Linked DNA regions of Oreochromis niloticus. The protein of the gene in region 2 interacts with the protein of the main gene of each other region in a biochemical or structural test. Links are inferred from orthologs where the notes say so. Each region holds a gene or a part of one and is shown on either strand. Other genes may lie near its edges.

Region 1 (7,501 bases), on a different chromosome or scaffold from region 2:
GGCAATACAGTTTCAATGAACTCTTAAAATTAGTAACAGGTTTCTTCTTATACTTGACTTAATTGTGCATTTGTTTTTGGAGTTTTTTTATAGCCCACTTCTGCAGGAAAAACAGTTCATAAACAATCATGAAATGTGGCAGTGCGATGCAGAGATTAGGCTATGATTACTCTGTAATCTGCTCTAACAGGGTGCAGCTCTATGACAGGAGCTTCTTCAGCATTCTCTGCATTCCTGGTAGTAGTACCATCCCTCCTGCTTTCTGGCTGCAGCACTTCTCCACATGTAGGCCAAAATCTGAGACTCTGGAGGCACAGAGTCACACTCATGCTGCAGTAGATGCCAGATGCAGCAGGCTTGCGTGAAACCGGTGTCTTATTAAGTGAAACTAATCAGGCAAAATTCTGTGTGGGGTAAAGGCTGATTATACACTGATCTAAAATGGAAGCTGACCTTCAAAGGTTAACCAAAACGACTACATTTGAACCTCACACTGAGCAAGTTAGTTTTGACACCTTCTTCTCATTTGTATGTCATCAAATAAATAAGAGACCAGAAACTTGGTATGACTGTCCATGCCAAGGATGATCATAAGCACTGGGAACACCCCAGCCTCTCTCTCTTTCCCTCTCTGCAGAGCCACAAAGCTGCAGCAGAATAAAATGCAGAGTCAGAGACAGGCCCTTTCAGGATGAATAATGCAGATACGAGTGAGACTGCAGCTTTGTGTCACGACAAGGTTCAAAACTTACAGGAGTACTTTGGTGTTCTGCCGGTGGCATGCGTGGATCTGATTCAGACATCACCCGACTTCACCCTTTTTACCAGAATCCACCTCAGCTTCAGTTTAATCCTTCCTCCCTCACCGCCAGACTAATCTTACAAGTAATCTTAAGTCATCGATTGCCTCATTCGCTCCCTCTCTGCTACAATTCACAATATCAAATCTTAAGGAGTGAATGTGACATTTAAAGGGCAGCACATCACCAACACAAGTCCACCACTTAAAACCGTTGAATATGAATGTCAGATGTAGAAATTAAGAAAAATTACAGAGTTCACAATCAAAAGCATCCACCCAAGTTAGGGTAGACTTGTTGCAGAAGATTCTGGGCAGGCATCTGCACTATTATTTGCTGTAACACATATCATCTTCCTGAGGAAGGCCAAGAAGCCCAAGTTCCATGTGTTTTACTAAACACTTTGGATTATTTATAGCCTGTTTGCACATACAGCACACTGTAGTACATATAAAATAGGCTTATGAATTCACATGGATGGAAAGGCTGACGTGTACACTCATGAATGCAGAATGGAAACTAATCTCCAGTACAGGTTTCTGAGCATGGCCCGTGTGATGGATTTTGTACAATGTTAAATGTCAAGTAGGAAACGTGTCTTCAGATTAGCGGGGCAACGTACACAGTAATGTTGAATGAAATGCATGAGCAAAAGTGTGCATGTGTAACATCAGAAGATGCAACACGATGAGAAAAAGAAACAGAAAGACATCCAGCTACATCCCATATTTGTTATCAACTTAAGGACACATGTCAATATGAAGAGGAGATTGGAGATATATATATATATATATATATATATATATATATATATATATATATATATATATATATATATAAAAAAGGGATTTCACAAATGACAGTAGAGTCATGCTGACTCAGTGTCTGTCACAGAAACAAAACAAAAGATGCAGAAAGCGGCCAAGTCCCAGACATGGGAATATTATGTGTCCTGACAGCTATCAGCATGCTGGACTTATTGAAGCATGAATACTAGCGGCAAGCAGCCCAGACAATGAATCATTAGTGTGAGTGTAGTCATTATGAACATGATGTAAACACCCAGCCTCCCAGAAGTTACAGTACATAACACAACCTCAGCTGGTAATTGTGCTCTGATGGAGTTGGTGGTACTGCAGTACCTCCTCACAGGATGAGAAGGAAGCCCGCCTTTGCTTGCATGCAGCCTTTTCTGAGCTACAGCTGAGACTAACTTGTGAACACACCACTCACCGTCTCCGGGTCGTTTTCAAACACTTCTCTGGCCTCCTCCTTGCTGCACTTTTCCTCCACGCACTCCCTCTCCAAGTGTCCTTGCTTCGTCTCCTCGAAGACTTGATTCGCCCTCTTGTGTCTGCTCAGAAACTGGTTCGCCTCTTGAGGGGACAGTGAGACTAAAGAAGGAAGGGCAAAAGAGAGCAAAACGGGCAAAGTTTAGTCACCTTTAAAAAAAAAAAAAAAGAAGAGCAAGTGAATGTCAATCAACTCTGCGGTTAAGCAATACACTGGCGCAGGAAAACAGTGTGAGGGATGTTGCGAAATATCTAACGTTAACCGTCAGTACTGGCAATAACCGAGACGTGTATCATCACCAGCTGCAACTCAAATGTCAAAGAGGGTTTAGCGGGCTAGCTAGCCGCCTAGCATGTAACTGTTTACTTACTGCTGTCGGACCAGCGGACGAGCAGCAGGATTAGCAGCGCTGCCGATGAAAAGGACTTTGTCGGGGTCAGCCGCATTGTTTGACCGCTGTGTTTGCGCCAAGCTCGAGAAACTTTCTCCTGCCCCGTCCCACCCCCTCCTCAGCCTCTCTCGGTGTAAGCGCAGGCGTCGGTGCGAAACGCCGCAGGTATTCAGGTGACTAGCTCCGACCGTTGGCCGTTACCGTCTACGATAGGACACGAACGTCGCGCGCGCTTGTGTGTCTGTGTCCCCCTCCTCCTCCTCCTCCAGGACGCTCACTACTACTACACGGGGAAACTGCACGACCGACCTCTTCTACCCCCCTCGCGTGCGGTTCAGCTGGTCCCCATCGCGGTGTGTGGGACCAAACTTAGCCGTTTGCGGACCGGACAGTCTGCGGAGGAACACTGCTCGTCTCTGCTTCAGGAGGAGGAGTAGCTCTCTGAGAAGTGCAGGCAGGAGTTTGAAGTGATGCAGACACCTCTTCATCCCTCCCTCCTCTGTGTGTGTTCGCCTGTGTGCGTGTGTGTGCGCGCGCATCACACTGGGGGAAAAAAAATCTGTTTAACTGGCACGCAATCCGTGATTTGGGTGTTGCACTTGTGGTTAGTAAGTAAATACTTCTATTAAAGTAAACAATACTCGAGTACTTTGCAATGGCTTCAAAAGTATTTTAAACGTTAGTCCAGGGGCATAACCAAAGGGGGGCATGAGGTGGCACAGACTATGCTAATTCTTATTTTTTCCCCCCATTTTGACTTTTTCTTTTTAATTCAGTTTAATCTCCAAAGTGGATTTTCTTATTTCAGCTTAACTATTATTGTTTGGAAATGTTTAGTTTTAGTTTATAGTTTTAATTAGTTTTTCTGTTACTTTTAAAAAATTAAAAAGTAAATCAGTGCAATTGTTACAATAAAAACACAGAACTTCTTGAAAGCAGTTTACTTAGTATTTTAGACAACCAAAGTCTCAATAAACATTTTCCTCGGTGTCTTGCCAGGCAAGTTATAATAAAATTGAGAAAAAACCAACAAATATTAAAACAAATCATACGTCTTTTATATTTATATTTCAAGTCTAGTTTTTCATTTTAATTTTAATTTTTTTCACATTTTATTTTAGTTTTTAGTTTAGTTTTAGTTAATGATAAAAACTTTGAAGAGCTGTGAAAACGTATTTTCCCCTTCCTGATTTCTTTTTTCTTTTTTGCATATTTGTCATATTTGCCTGTTAAATCAACATGAATTAACGATGAGTAACCACATTTTCTGAAAAGCTGAGTTCAGTTTCACTAGCCAAGCCTATTTGCTTATTGAAAAAACTGAACTTTTTGGAACAAACTAAAGTCTTGAACAAGCAATCCATGCTGGAAACCCCTCCAGTGTGGCTGAATTAAAACAATTCAGCAAATAAGAGTGGGCCATAATTTCTCCACAGTGGTGTAAAATACTCATTGCCAGTTATCGCAAATGTTTCACTATGTCACATGTCAGAAGCAGGAATGATGTCACTCCTAAGTTGAGCGTGTTCCATTACTAAAGTCAGAAAAGCAAGAAAAAAACATGATTTGGTTTTCTTCTTCGCAAGGTAGACCTATTTGTGCATCGCAAGCAGTACAGCACAATGCTTGGATTTTTTTGTGTGTGTGTTCAAAAACACGACTGCAGCACATTCATGAACAGAGCCTGGTCAGCGGACTGCATATGCCTTTTTTAGCGAGTCACAAACACAATGGGGAAAAAACCATGGCAATACAAATTTCAAGTTTTACATTTTAACGTTTATGCGCATTGCCATAATCTTGGATTGTGAATTCAAGGTTGGTGGGGCTGCTCCGACTTTCCAAACTGGAAATCCATCTTGAAGGGGCATTCCAATTGAAAGTTTGAAATTCTGACTTCTAACTTTAACTGGAGCTGTTAGTCTTAAGAGTGCCCAACAACACTGAAGGAGACCAGGAGTAAAACCAGTATGAATCTGACAGTATTTTACTTTACTGTAGGCTTTACTATAAGTACAAGTTTAATGTGATTGTACTTTTTTTTTTTTTTAATTCTCAGTACTATTTATTTTCAAAGCTTTTGTTACTTTAATTATTATAATTATAATTGTTGTTATTATAATAATAATAATAATAATTATTATAAACTCTATTATTATAGATAAAGCTACCTAGTAATATATAAATAATTAAGAGTATAATAGTATGTGTACATGTGTTTATTTTAATTACTTTAAAATTAATTTAAAACATATTTTAATCAGATATATTGGCCCGGTCAGTCAGGTTTTTTTAATCATGATTATAACTTTTACTTAAACAAAAAGTTGTTTTTTTCCCAACTTTGCAAAACAATCATTCAACACAAAATGATGTTAAAAATTATTTATAGCACCACTTTTCACATGATAAATTTGTAATAGGACACAGGGCTCCACATGAGTCTAAAAATTCTCCCCAGTATTTTTTATACCAGATTTCTACACTGATTTTCCTTCTGATTGAATATCCAGACTTCATGGAGGCCCTTCCCTCCCTTTTCTTGGTCTCCCCTGTGTCTCTCCATGTAAAGAAGTCCTGGAAATGCCCCTACTTAAGCTACTAATTGATTCCAAGTATCTTAAAACTTACCACTTACGGTATTGTTTTTTTGTAGGCATTATAGGGTGTGTGAAATACTGATTAGTCAAGCTAGGAAGTAGTGGAGTAGCTATAAAGGAACAAAAATGTAAATAAAATACACATACCCCCCAAGTATAGTCCATCATTTGAACAGCTTTGCAGATTTCACAGTAGAAAAACAACTGATAGTTCAGCATTGGTCATAGCATTTACTTATACAATATGTTCTTTGTTATAGATTTAGCTACTAAACAGCATTTAAAGTAGTGAAATGACATTAAGTGCTTAAATACCAATTTATGGTACACATAATGATACAGCTACACAAGGAGCCATTCAGCTGCATGGATAATGTGTGTTTAGTCTTCTGTTGAGTATACAGGGCTTGGATACTTGTTTACAGTGTTCAAAGTTCAACAGTTTCTTGTAACTGAGTATTTTTCAATAGTCTTATGCCCACTTTTACTTTCATTTTCAGGGAAGTTTATTTTTATCCCAGTCCTTTGCAAAGTAACAGCACTTGTTTCGTTTACTCTGGAAGTTGTGCAACATGTTTTTCAGTAATTTCTTTAGATTTCAGTCCACATTTGTCCTGTTTTGCCTGGTTCTTATCTGCGCAACAGTGGGCTTTGCAGAAAATTAAAAAGCACATCACTTGATGTGAAAACACCTCCAAACTGTGTTTTGTAAATGGCAGATTTATGAGTTTGTTGTGTCACCAAGTACTTGGGCGGATGCAGTGCTGGGAAGTATGGGTTCAAGGTTTTTCTGCTGAACATGAGAAAACTCACCAAGACACTGATATAATCATGACACATTTTGAATCATGAAACTAAATTCTGAATCTGTTCCCAGTCTCTGACCTTGTTTTGTGCAGCGGCGAGAGACCAAAACAAAGCAGGGCTGGAATCCAATAATAAGGTTGCTTTGATACAGTTTTATTAAAACAAACATCAAACACAACACCAAACAACTACATTTAAGTTATATATTAAAGATGGCATGTTTTATATACAAAGTGGAAACAAATGACAACCAGGAGAGCCCTTAAGATAAGGACAGAAACAGGAGAACAATAAATGCTGTAATTATGACTGGTGTACACCTCTGATGACAAGAGTGGTAAATTGAAGCAACGCTTCGGAAATGCAGAGCTCCAGATGGTGATTTAAACAAAGGAGATGAAACAGAATTTGATAGGAACGCCTGAAGGCTCAGATATCTCCTCTGTGGTTTCTCCTGCCACAAACATTAATTTCAACTAGTTGTTTTTAAACAATTTAGAGAGAGTACCATGATTCAGCAGCAGCAGGGACGAAGATGCAGGTGGTCTCGCAGTCTGGTCAGCAGTGACCATTTGTTTATTTTTCTACACAAACATAACCATCTGTTACTCAACTCATGGCATGCACGCTGCAGAGCTCAGCTCCTTTTTGTTTCCACTTTCCTGGAAAACAACTTAATGCAGACAAAAACTGCTACACCTATGTCATCCAGCTTCCGGCTACCTCACTGGTAAGCCAGCCTTTGTTGTGACTCACTAAAGCAATACCAGAACAAAATAGGTCAGGGTACAAACAAGAACACTGTAGAGATGAAAAGCTTAAAATCACTCTCTGCCTCCGTCTCTTCTTCTCCTCCTCTCTAGATTCTCTTTCCAAAATATCCCAAGAAGTTTCCCCTGTGGGACTCTGCCTAATTTAAGAGCTTTTTAATGCAATGTGCTTTTTTAAATCGGGTCACTTTCTGTACATGTGTGTCACCTCTCGGTCATCATCCGAGGTAGTGACAGGAGGACACGAGTGGGACTTGATGCTGTTATGTTTGCTGAGAGCTTCATCGAAGTCCAGCTGCTGGCCGTTGATACTGATCTCCATGCAGCCGTGGTAAAAGGCCGTCACAGGGGTGGTAGGCAAAGGGATGTCTTCTGAAGGAGAGAGAGACGGTAACTGTTTGATGGGTTGTTATGACACTATGTATCATTGTTCATGTTACTTTCAATATGAATGAGTCCTTGTTTTGGTGCTCTTAATCTAGTGCAGTCATCTAGTTAAAGGTTTTCTGATTCCTTTCATTCTCAGCTCTGCTTAGTGCTAATCATGAAACATGAAAAACAGTAAACACCTCCTGCTAAGCTTCAGCGTGCCGTCACCATTGTCACTGTGACTATGGCAACATGTGGATATTAGCATTAGCAGCTCAAAGCACCACTGTTCAACCAAGGCTCACAGATCCAGCAGGAAGAGCAACACATTCAAGAGAAACCAAGAAAATTGCAAAACACTTTATTCATTTTGATCACACATCAATGATAATTTATGCTTAAAGTTCTTAATCATTACTAACCGGGTATTCCACCAATGTATGTGCTGACGGGGTTTTGCATGGTGCTGTT
Region 2 (7,914 bases):
ATATTTATTACTTGTGACAGACTTACTTTTGCAGTTGCCAGGATATGATAACCCGAGCTTTTGAAAGACTCTGGTTATCTCGTGCTCCTACTGATAGTGAGGCTGACCTGAGAAGGACAGCACTGATACTGAGACAAAGGCTTCTTGTTAGAGGAAGGTTGCCCATGTTGCTTAAACAATGTCTGAGAACAGAGAGCCCAACACAAACTAAACGTAATTATAATCACAGCTTCTCCATAACAGTATTCACAGACCTGCAGCCTATAGATGTCTGATGTCAGAAAAATGTTGAAAACGGTGGATCATTCTTTTTTTTTTACCTTTTGAAACTTTCAATGATAATGAATTGGAATACGTAACTTAAAAACCCAGATTTTCTTTAAACCATGGACCTGGCAATTGCACATAAGATGTGCACAGATTTGTGATACAAGAATTCTTTTCTTTCTTTCGCAGCATCACATAAAAATGCAAAGCATCCACTCAACCAACCAAGCCAAGGCAACTCCTTGTAGATAAAGAAAACATAAATCATTTGAAGAAGAGCAAACTTGGTTTTCAGAGCAAGAATGAAAAAGCAAGATTTTCTCAAGCTTGTCAACACACCCTCCTAGTCTGTTTCATGGTCACCTTTCAACCTTTGACCCTTTACAAAGACCCCAAAGACCCATCTCATTATAACACACATAAATGCCCATAATTCAACAACCAAAAACAGATTTAAAATGCACCTTTTTGCAGGACTTATTTTACTCTTAACTATAACATGTCTCGACAGAGTGTGTGCTTCCCCACCTCTTTGTCTGTGTGTGTTTTCTGGCATTAAAAGTCATTCATCCCTTTATTTTTAAGCTTGGCTGAGCTCTTTCAATATTCTACATGACCCTGGCTTTGCCCCCCTCCCCCTCCAGTGCATTGAACCGAAATAGCCCCATTTTCTTTCTCTGTATCTTTTTTGCTGAGTTCATATAATAATAACCTTGTAAACATTTGACAAGATTGCAGACAGACAGAGAGAGGAGGCTACAGACAAACTGTGTGTCTCTGTTTGTGTGTGGCCTGTCTCCACTGATTCATTGGTGCCTAACTATTTCATCACCTCCCTATTGTTCCCCGAATTCCCTTCAGGTCCCCCACTTTTTCCCTGATCTTTTCTTTCCACCCTGCCTCTACTCCTACTCTCCACTCTGTGAGAATGCTCAGATGTTAAATGTCATTGGTTGTGCGCATACCAAAAATGTCTGACACAGTCTTAAGCATTTATCCTCCTCTCACTCCCTGCTTTATCCTCCTGCATTTTTAACAGTGTGGAATCCATTCACTGCCGTGCCTTTGCCCTTTCTCCTTTTCATGCCATTCATTGGATTCATCACTACACATTTTGCCACCTCCCCTCCAAACTCTCTACTCTTGCCCTCGTACCCCATCCATCATTGGATTGGAGTCTGAGTCAGACAAGCTCTGACTCACAAACCAAAGCATTTGGCCCCCTGAACCCCTCCTCATCCTTCACATCCTCACATCCAAATAGGAACTGAGACATCCGAATAAAATTCTCCATTCTTCACGTCGGTGTCTAGTAATCTCCCTGCCTGCTAGTCATACATATACTGAGGTCAGCTGCCCAAGAGACAGAGTGACCACAATGGTCAAAACATATAAGCTGACAGGTGGAGGTCCCTGTAGGCATACTGTTTTCATCGACTGGGTTCAATTAAAAGTTCCCAAACAGTCATGTTTTTTGTCAGTAAAGTTCGTTTTAAAAGATAGTTAACATACTTTTGAAATGATTCTGTATAGTGTAGAAAGACTATTTTCTTAAGAAATCGAAAATTTGGCTTTCATCTTTCTATCTTGGCGTTCAGCAAACATTCTCTTTGTTGATTATGATTCACCCATGTCTCAGCATATTTACATTAAATGCCCACCTTTCACTTGTTTCAGTACATCTATCACATTCCAAATCTTGTTCGCATGAACTCCCAGCATGAATAAACATTGATCACCTGATCTCAGAAACATTGCCCTTGAGCAGTTAGTGTTACTGGTTGTTACCTGTCAGGTAAAACTCCCCCTCACTTAGTTTGATTGTATTGTAATATAATAATAGTGTACAATAATATCAATCCTTCACTTGCTTTTGATAACTTTTTTTTTTTTATGTTGGCCAGATGTTGAACGCCCCTGCAGCTGTGGTTAGCCAAAAGCAAATTGAGTTAACAAGGCAGAGAGCTGACTGTGCTAATTGCTCTTTACGATGTTTCCCCCTGCACACAAGGTAACAACTAACAGGCATATTGGGTAAATAAAAAAAGCCGCCCCCGTTTCAGTTAAACCTTACCTGTCAGCGAATCTGCAGATGTTGGTATCCAAACCGAAAACATGACGGTGAGAATCACAAACGACCATGTAGACAAATTCATACTTTCTCTCGAAAACAAATGACCTCGGAAAAAGAGCTTCATGAGGAGAAGAGTCATCCTGGAAACATCACCAGACTCCATTACCGCATCGCAGCAGCTCAGAGATTCAAAGTTGTGTTTTGCTCTAAAGAAAAAGAAAAAATTTCTCTGACTTGGCAGGTACTGAAAATGGTGAGTATCCACAAATCAAGACCCAATCAAAGCGAATCCTCGCGTTTCAGTTCCCCATTTTAAGAAACCTGCGGTTAAAAAAAATCTCTGAATTGCCACAAACTCTTGAGTTTCCCTTATGCTGTTGCTTTGGTTGGTTTCAAACGGAGCAGGGCTGTCTCCATCAAAAACTTTCATCTACCGTGAAAAAGCGCACAGCAAACGACGCTCTAAACTTTCCTTGTCCAAACAAGAGTCTATTTCTAGCGACCAAGAGCGTATTTTTAAACCAGTCTTTCCTGTAGCCGGTTGTCCAAAGTCTCTATCCTGCCCACAGGTTCCCTGCGACTCCAGACATTCCCCTGGCTTTCTTATCCCTCTCCCCCTTTCAAACACGATTCAAATTCCTCAACTCAAGTTCTTTCCACCCTCCTCCTCATCCTCCTCCTTCTCCACAGTCTCCCTCCTTTTCTCAAAGGATGTGAGAAACTCTGCGGCATGCTGATTGTCTCGGCCCAATCTCCCATTCGCTTTTTAATTACACAGTGATGCCCTGAAGTTGTAAATGTCTCCGTAAATCAACAGTTTCGCGCTTGAAACACTGTTTCAAACACAAGCCTGTGCATTTCAGTGTGTGTAACATGACAGCATCATGTACATATATATAATGTTACAGACCTGGCTTTTTAATAATAAACTTTTTTCTTTTTTTCCTAAGAAAAATATATTTTTTATCCCGCTGTCAAAGTTGATTGCTTATCCACATCTATTGTTTTTCTGTATACTGTTTTACAATAATTAAAACATATAAATGTTTAAAAGTACTACTATTAAAACACCATATCCAGGTTTAGCGGGATTTGTTATTAATTCTTCATTATCTTGCTGCTGTTTAAAACATTTGAATATGTCGATTTGTTATTCCAACCAGTCAAAAGCAAACGGGATGTCAGCAAAAATGCACAGAAAAATATTCAAACTATTTTTGTTTGCATTTACTCCATTGTACACAAACAGAGCCACCATCACGATGTCTGGGAATTTGTTTGAAAATCCGGATTCAGTCATAACAATTTGAAGGACTCTCAGCTGTAGTCTAAATAACTTTCCTTGATTCACATCTAAGTTACTGTTGTAGATCGCGATGTCTGAAGTGTGTTCTGTGTGTGCGTGAGGAAATGCTTCTTGCTGCGTGAGAGAAGTCCCTGCAGGGTTCACATATCATTCATGAATGAATTGATTTGCTGTGTATATTTCTGTTTTTTTTCTTCACTGAAAACAATGAGAGGGGCTGGAACTCAGGTTGCGAAGAACTCAGTCCGACTGCCCCTTTAAGAGTAGCTCTGCGGACAGTGTTGTGTTCCCAGGGTTTTTAATGGAGACAGAGAGCCACTGAGAAAGACCCCATTGTATATTCTCTCCTTTCAATCGGGGCTTGAGCAATGGTGCTCTCACTGCTCCCCGATAGAAGCACAGAGTGGAGGGAGGGAAGAGGGTCGCAGAGGGTGGTCCTGCATAAGAAAGCGGGGCGTTCAACTCCAAAACACAAAGTTTCGGGGCTAGTTGGACCTGGAAGGAGTGAATGTTTGGGTTTAAAGGGGGAGGGGCATCAAGGAGTGTTTAGGTTCAAGTCACGCTAAAATCCAGGAAACCTGATTCATCACACACCAAGACCCAAAGATTTAAAGACTTTTACACGAAGCTCAAGTGGATTAACAGAATTAAAAGCGAATGGTCTAGGTTATAAAACAAACTATATGGGCCCCAGCTACTCACAGAGTAGTAGGCTACTGCTGAGCTCATTTCCCTGATAATCTCAAATGCTTATTAACAAAACAACCTGTCTGAAAGAAGAGTGTCTATTGGCTGGAAGACATGAGAAACACCTTCCTGCTACTCTCCCAGCTACACATCCCCCCGGTGGTGCTGATAATGAGCCGAGGGCCCTTTTTTCCCCTTCTCCTTACTGCAGACTTGACAGCCAAACTGCTCCATTGAACCCTGATGATTCATTAAAATAAACTGTAGTGACTGACTGCCTGAAGTTGAAGTCTCTTATGCCCCCTGCTGGGGACATTGTTCAAACTGCAACTGAAATCATGGAAGAACAATCAGTCCTGAGAAACTCTCTGAACAAACCTAACTGAAGACTGATCATTTAAAGGTGGTTAGTTTAGGCTCCTGACCCAAACTGACCTCCTCATCGGTCAAACCCATTGGTGTTTTTGTTATGACTTGAGTATAGCCGCCAATGGATCTAACACCGACATTTGCTGATAAATCTGAGCTATACAAGATTGTTGTGTGAGCTCAGATTCAGCCAAATGTACAAAACCTATTGGGAAAACATTTCATTTGAGCGGGGCAGCAATGCCTAACATAGTGCAAAAACAACACAAAAGCATAACAGGGTGAAAAGGCGATGTCCTCAAATAGTAGAGTCAATCCCCTGATTTAAATCAAATTGAGCTGCATTCGATCAGACTGAAGACAGACGGACTCAGCAAAAAGCAGAAGGTGAAAGCTTACTTCAGCCATAGAGTGTAAAAGATTTTATACTCAATACTTGATATGATGATTTTTTCTACACTCCCAAATAATTTGAAAGCACAATGTAATCAATATTCTTCTATCAGTACTGATATCATTTTTTATTTTAAAGTTGACTAAACCGGGCCAAAAACACCAGATATTATTACTTCATGTTTGTTCTTTGCTCTGAGAGGTGTGCAGCAAGATTAAACCTTGCAATGAGAGCTTTGTGCTGTTTTGTGTTCATCTCACTGGTGATATTAGCCAGTAATAGGAACACTGAAATAGCAACAGACAGCAAAGCAAATGACATCTATGTGCTACAGTGTAAGATCCTGTTTTTCTGTCACACATAGAGTTCAAAAGGAGGACTGATCTGTCTGATGGGAAAATAAAATTTCCAGTGGGATTATCTGATTTTATGTCATCTCCTGGCTTTGACTAACTCCTTAATAGCTCTGCTTGTCATAAACTTTAAACAGAGACAGATATGTCTGTGAACAAAAACCTAGAGACACGCATGGGCTGCAGTAACAACTTCAAACAAATGCTTTGGCATGTTGGTGATCCCATGTGGTATGTTACACATTACTGTAGGCAGATCACTAAACCAGAGGTCAAAGATTCAAGTCTCATGTATTCAAGGTGTTAAAGGTGCAATATATAATGTACATTGAAGGTGTGTGAATATTTTTGCCCATTTTATTTTCAAATTGCTTGCTGAAATCTGCTTCCTGTATTTAGCCCCCACATCTTTCAGACTACCACCACCTTACAACCCATTTATTGAAGACCGGTCTCATCAAAGCATGAGAGTGTCTCTCTAAGATCCCTCCTGTTACATAACGTCATTCTAACAGCGATTAGCAAACCCAGAATGTCACAGTGAATAGCATTTAATCTCACTTGGATATATGATGATGAAAGACATGTAATATCTTAGAGGTGGTTACTTGGATGGGGCCACATATCCCAGGTTTGAACAGATTAAAATCTTGGTTGGGCCTATCCACAGCAGTGCAACAACAGGCTTCCAGCTGTGCAAGAATAATAATCCCTCTGTTTTAATCTTTTTGAGCAGGAGGTGATCCGAGCCCTTGTTCGGAAGCCATCCAAGGGCGCAGGGATACGCTAAGATACAGGTTTGACAGGTTTACCAGTTTAATGATAAGCCATAATGCACCTCTCATATTTTCTATGAGGAACTGGAAATTGAAGCTTGTGTGTGTATGTTGCTCAGGGAGGGTGTCCAACATGACATCTGGTAATGGTTGCAGTATAAATCATAAATCATCTTTTTGGTGGGATTTATGCTTCGCTGTTATGATTATTTGGGCCTCTTATGCTCATATGATGTTTATATGTGCATAACCAGGCATGGCTCCAATTCCACTCACAACAGCATGGGTTTAAAGAGGGAAGGCCTAAATAGTGGGGATTATTCTCTCTCCCGCTTCTCCCTCTCCCTCTTTCTCTTACCCTATTTTTCAGCATCAGTGCTCTGCCTTTCATTTCAGTTCCTGTTGCTGTGATGACCACAGACATGAGCACAGCAGGTGTTCATCGAGGCTTCCTCAAAAAATATGGTAGGCCTGCTTCTATCCTTTTATCCACAGTAACCCCTCTGCAGTCGTCATGTAAAGTTTGATGTGAATGTTTTGATCTGATTTTGTTTACTGCATCCTTTTGTGCTCATTCTGCAAATTAGGCCAAAGTTAGTAACTATATATGCTTTTTGAAGATCTCAGTCGCTTTGCTGTCAAATATGACCCAACTGTGTCTTCAATTTAGATTTTCTGATTGTCATGCTTATTTTCTCCAAGGTGTAATAAATTCTTAGTGTTTATTCATTTAAAGCCAGTATAGATTATATGGCTGCTGACTTCACAATCGGTGGAAAACAACACTGTCTCAGAACACCAATCCAACTCTTACATGAGCAATGTCAGCCTAAGAGCCAGCCAGTATGATATAATCAATCCCAGATGTGTTTTTACAGAATGACGAGATGGTAATTTTCAAGCCAAGTCATGAACCGGCTCTTGGCCAGCGCCTCTCTTTACTTATATTACATCTGTTTTTTATTGCCCTTGTTTTCATTTCAGAGTGGCGTCACAGTTGATAACAGTTAAGTAGCTATTTTGGTACTTCAAATGTTTTTCTTCCTCTCTTGACTTATGCCGACTAATAGCACTATTAAAATTTAGGGATATTAATCTATAGGTTGAAATCTGCAGTCAAATTAATGTATAGTAAGGTATAGTAAATGCCATAATAACAAACAATCAATGAAAAATTCCTATACCCCCCTCTCTTGCTCGCTTGCAAATCCACCTGTTCAACTTTAATCCTGTATGGAGAAATAAAGTAGATCTTGTCTGTCAACATGTGCTCACCTTCTATTGTCTGCAGTCTAACACGGTCGTGTGTGTCCTGTCTTGAAAACTCTGGAAACTCATTGTTCCAAAAATTTGAATATTTCGGTTTCTTTTTAATACAAAAAAGCATTACATTTAACTCAGGCTGTTTCTATTGATTTTTGATTGTTATGGATCTGCCTTGTTTCAAGGACAAGGTATCATTATTTTTTGTATTATTATTGGTATTGTTGTTGTTGTTTTCATAAGTAATGCTGCGACAACTGACTGTTGTAATTTTTCATCAGTGTGATTTTGAGGCTGCTGTTTGTGCTCTTAAAACCCCCCAAACAATTTATTGGACATTGTTATAGTTGTGTTCATGTCACTACAATAAGTATCCAATTATATCACTGAAACTGACAAAAATAGAACATTTCTCTCAAAGAACC

Evidence for each region.
Region 1: the proteins of axl (region 2) and gas6 form a complex in vitro, tested with the Homo sapiens proteins (2 studies listed by BioGRID and IntAct, with this or other methods). The link is inferred for Oreochromis niloticus from reciprocal best matches to the Homo sapiens genes AXL and GAS6.

What each region holds. Positions count from the first base shown.
Region 1 is NC_031965.2:16,477,511-16,485,011, forward strand, and holds the start of gas6 (growth arrest-specific protein 6), read right to left. Parts: upstream 3,008-7,501; 5' UTR 2,540-3,007; coding exon 2,464-2,539; intron 2,195-2,463; coding exon 2,034-2,194; intron 1-2,033. Other genes in the region: pros1 (vitamin K-dependent protein S), read right to left, coding at 6,846-7,033, 7,453-7,501. UniProt on the Homo sapiens protein: Ligand for tyrosine-protein kinase receptors AXL, TYRO3 and MER whose signaling is implicated in cell growth and survival, cell adhesion and cell migration.
Region 2 is NC_031979.2:33,637,254-33,645,167, forward strand, and holds the start of axl (tyrosine-protein kinase receptor UFO), read right to left. Parts: upstream 3,016-7,914; 5' UTR 2,505-3,015; coding exon 2,342-2,504; intron 1-2,341. Other genes in the region: uncharacterized protein LOC102077316, read left to right, coding at 6,637-6,691. UniProt on the Homo sapiens protein: Receptor tyrosine kinase that transduces signals from the extracellular matrix into the cytoplasm by binding growth factor GAS6 and which is thus regulating many physiological processes including cell survival, cell proliferation, migration and differentiation.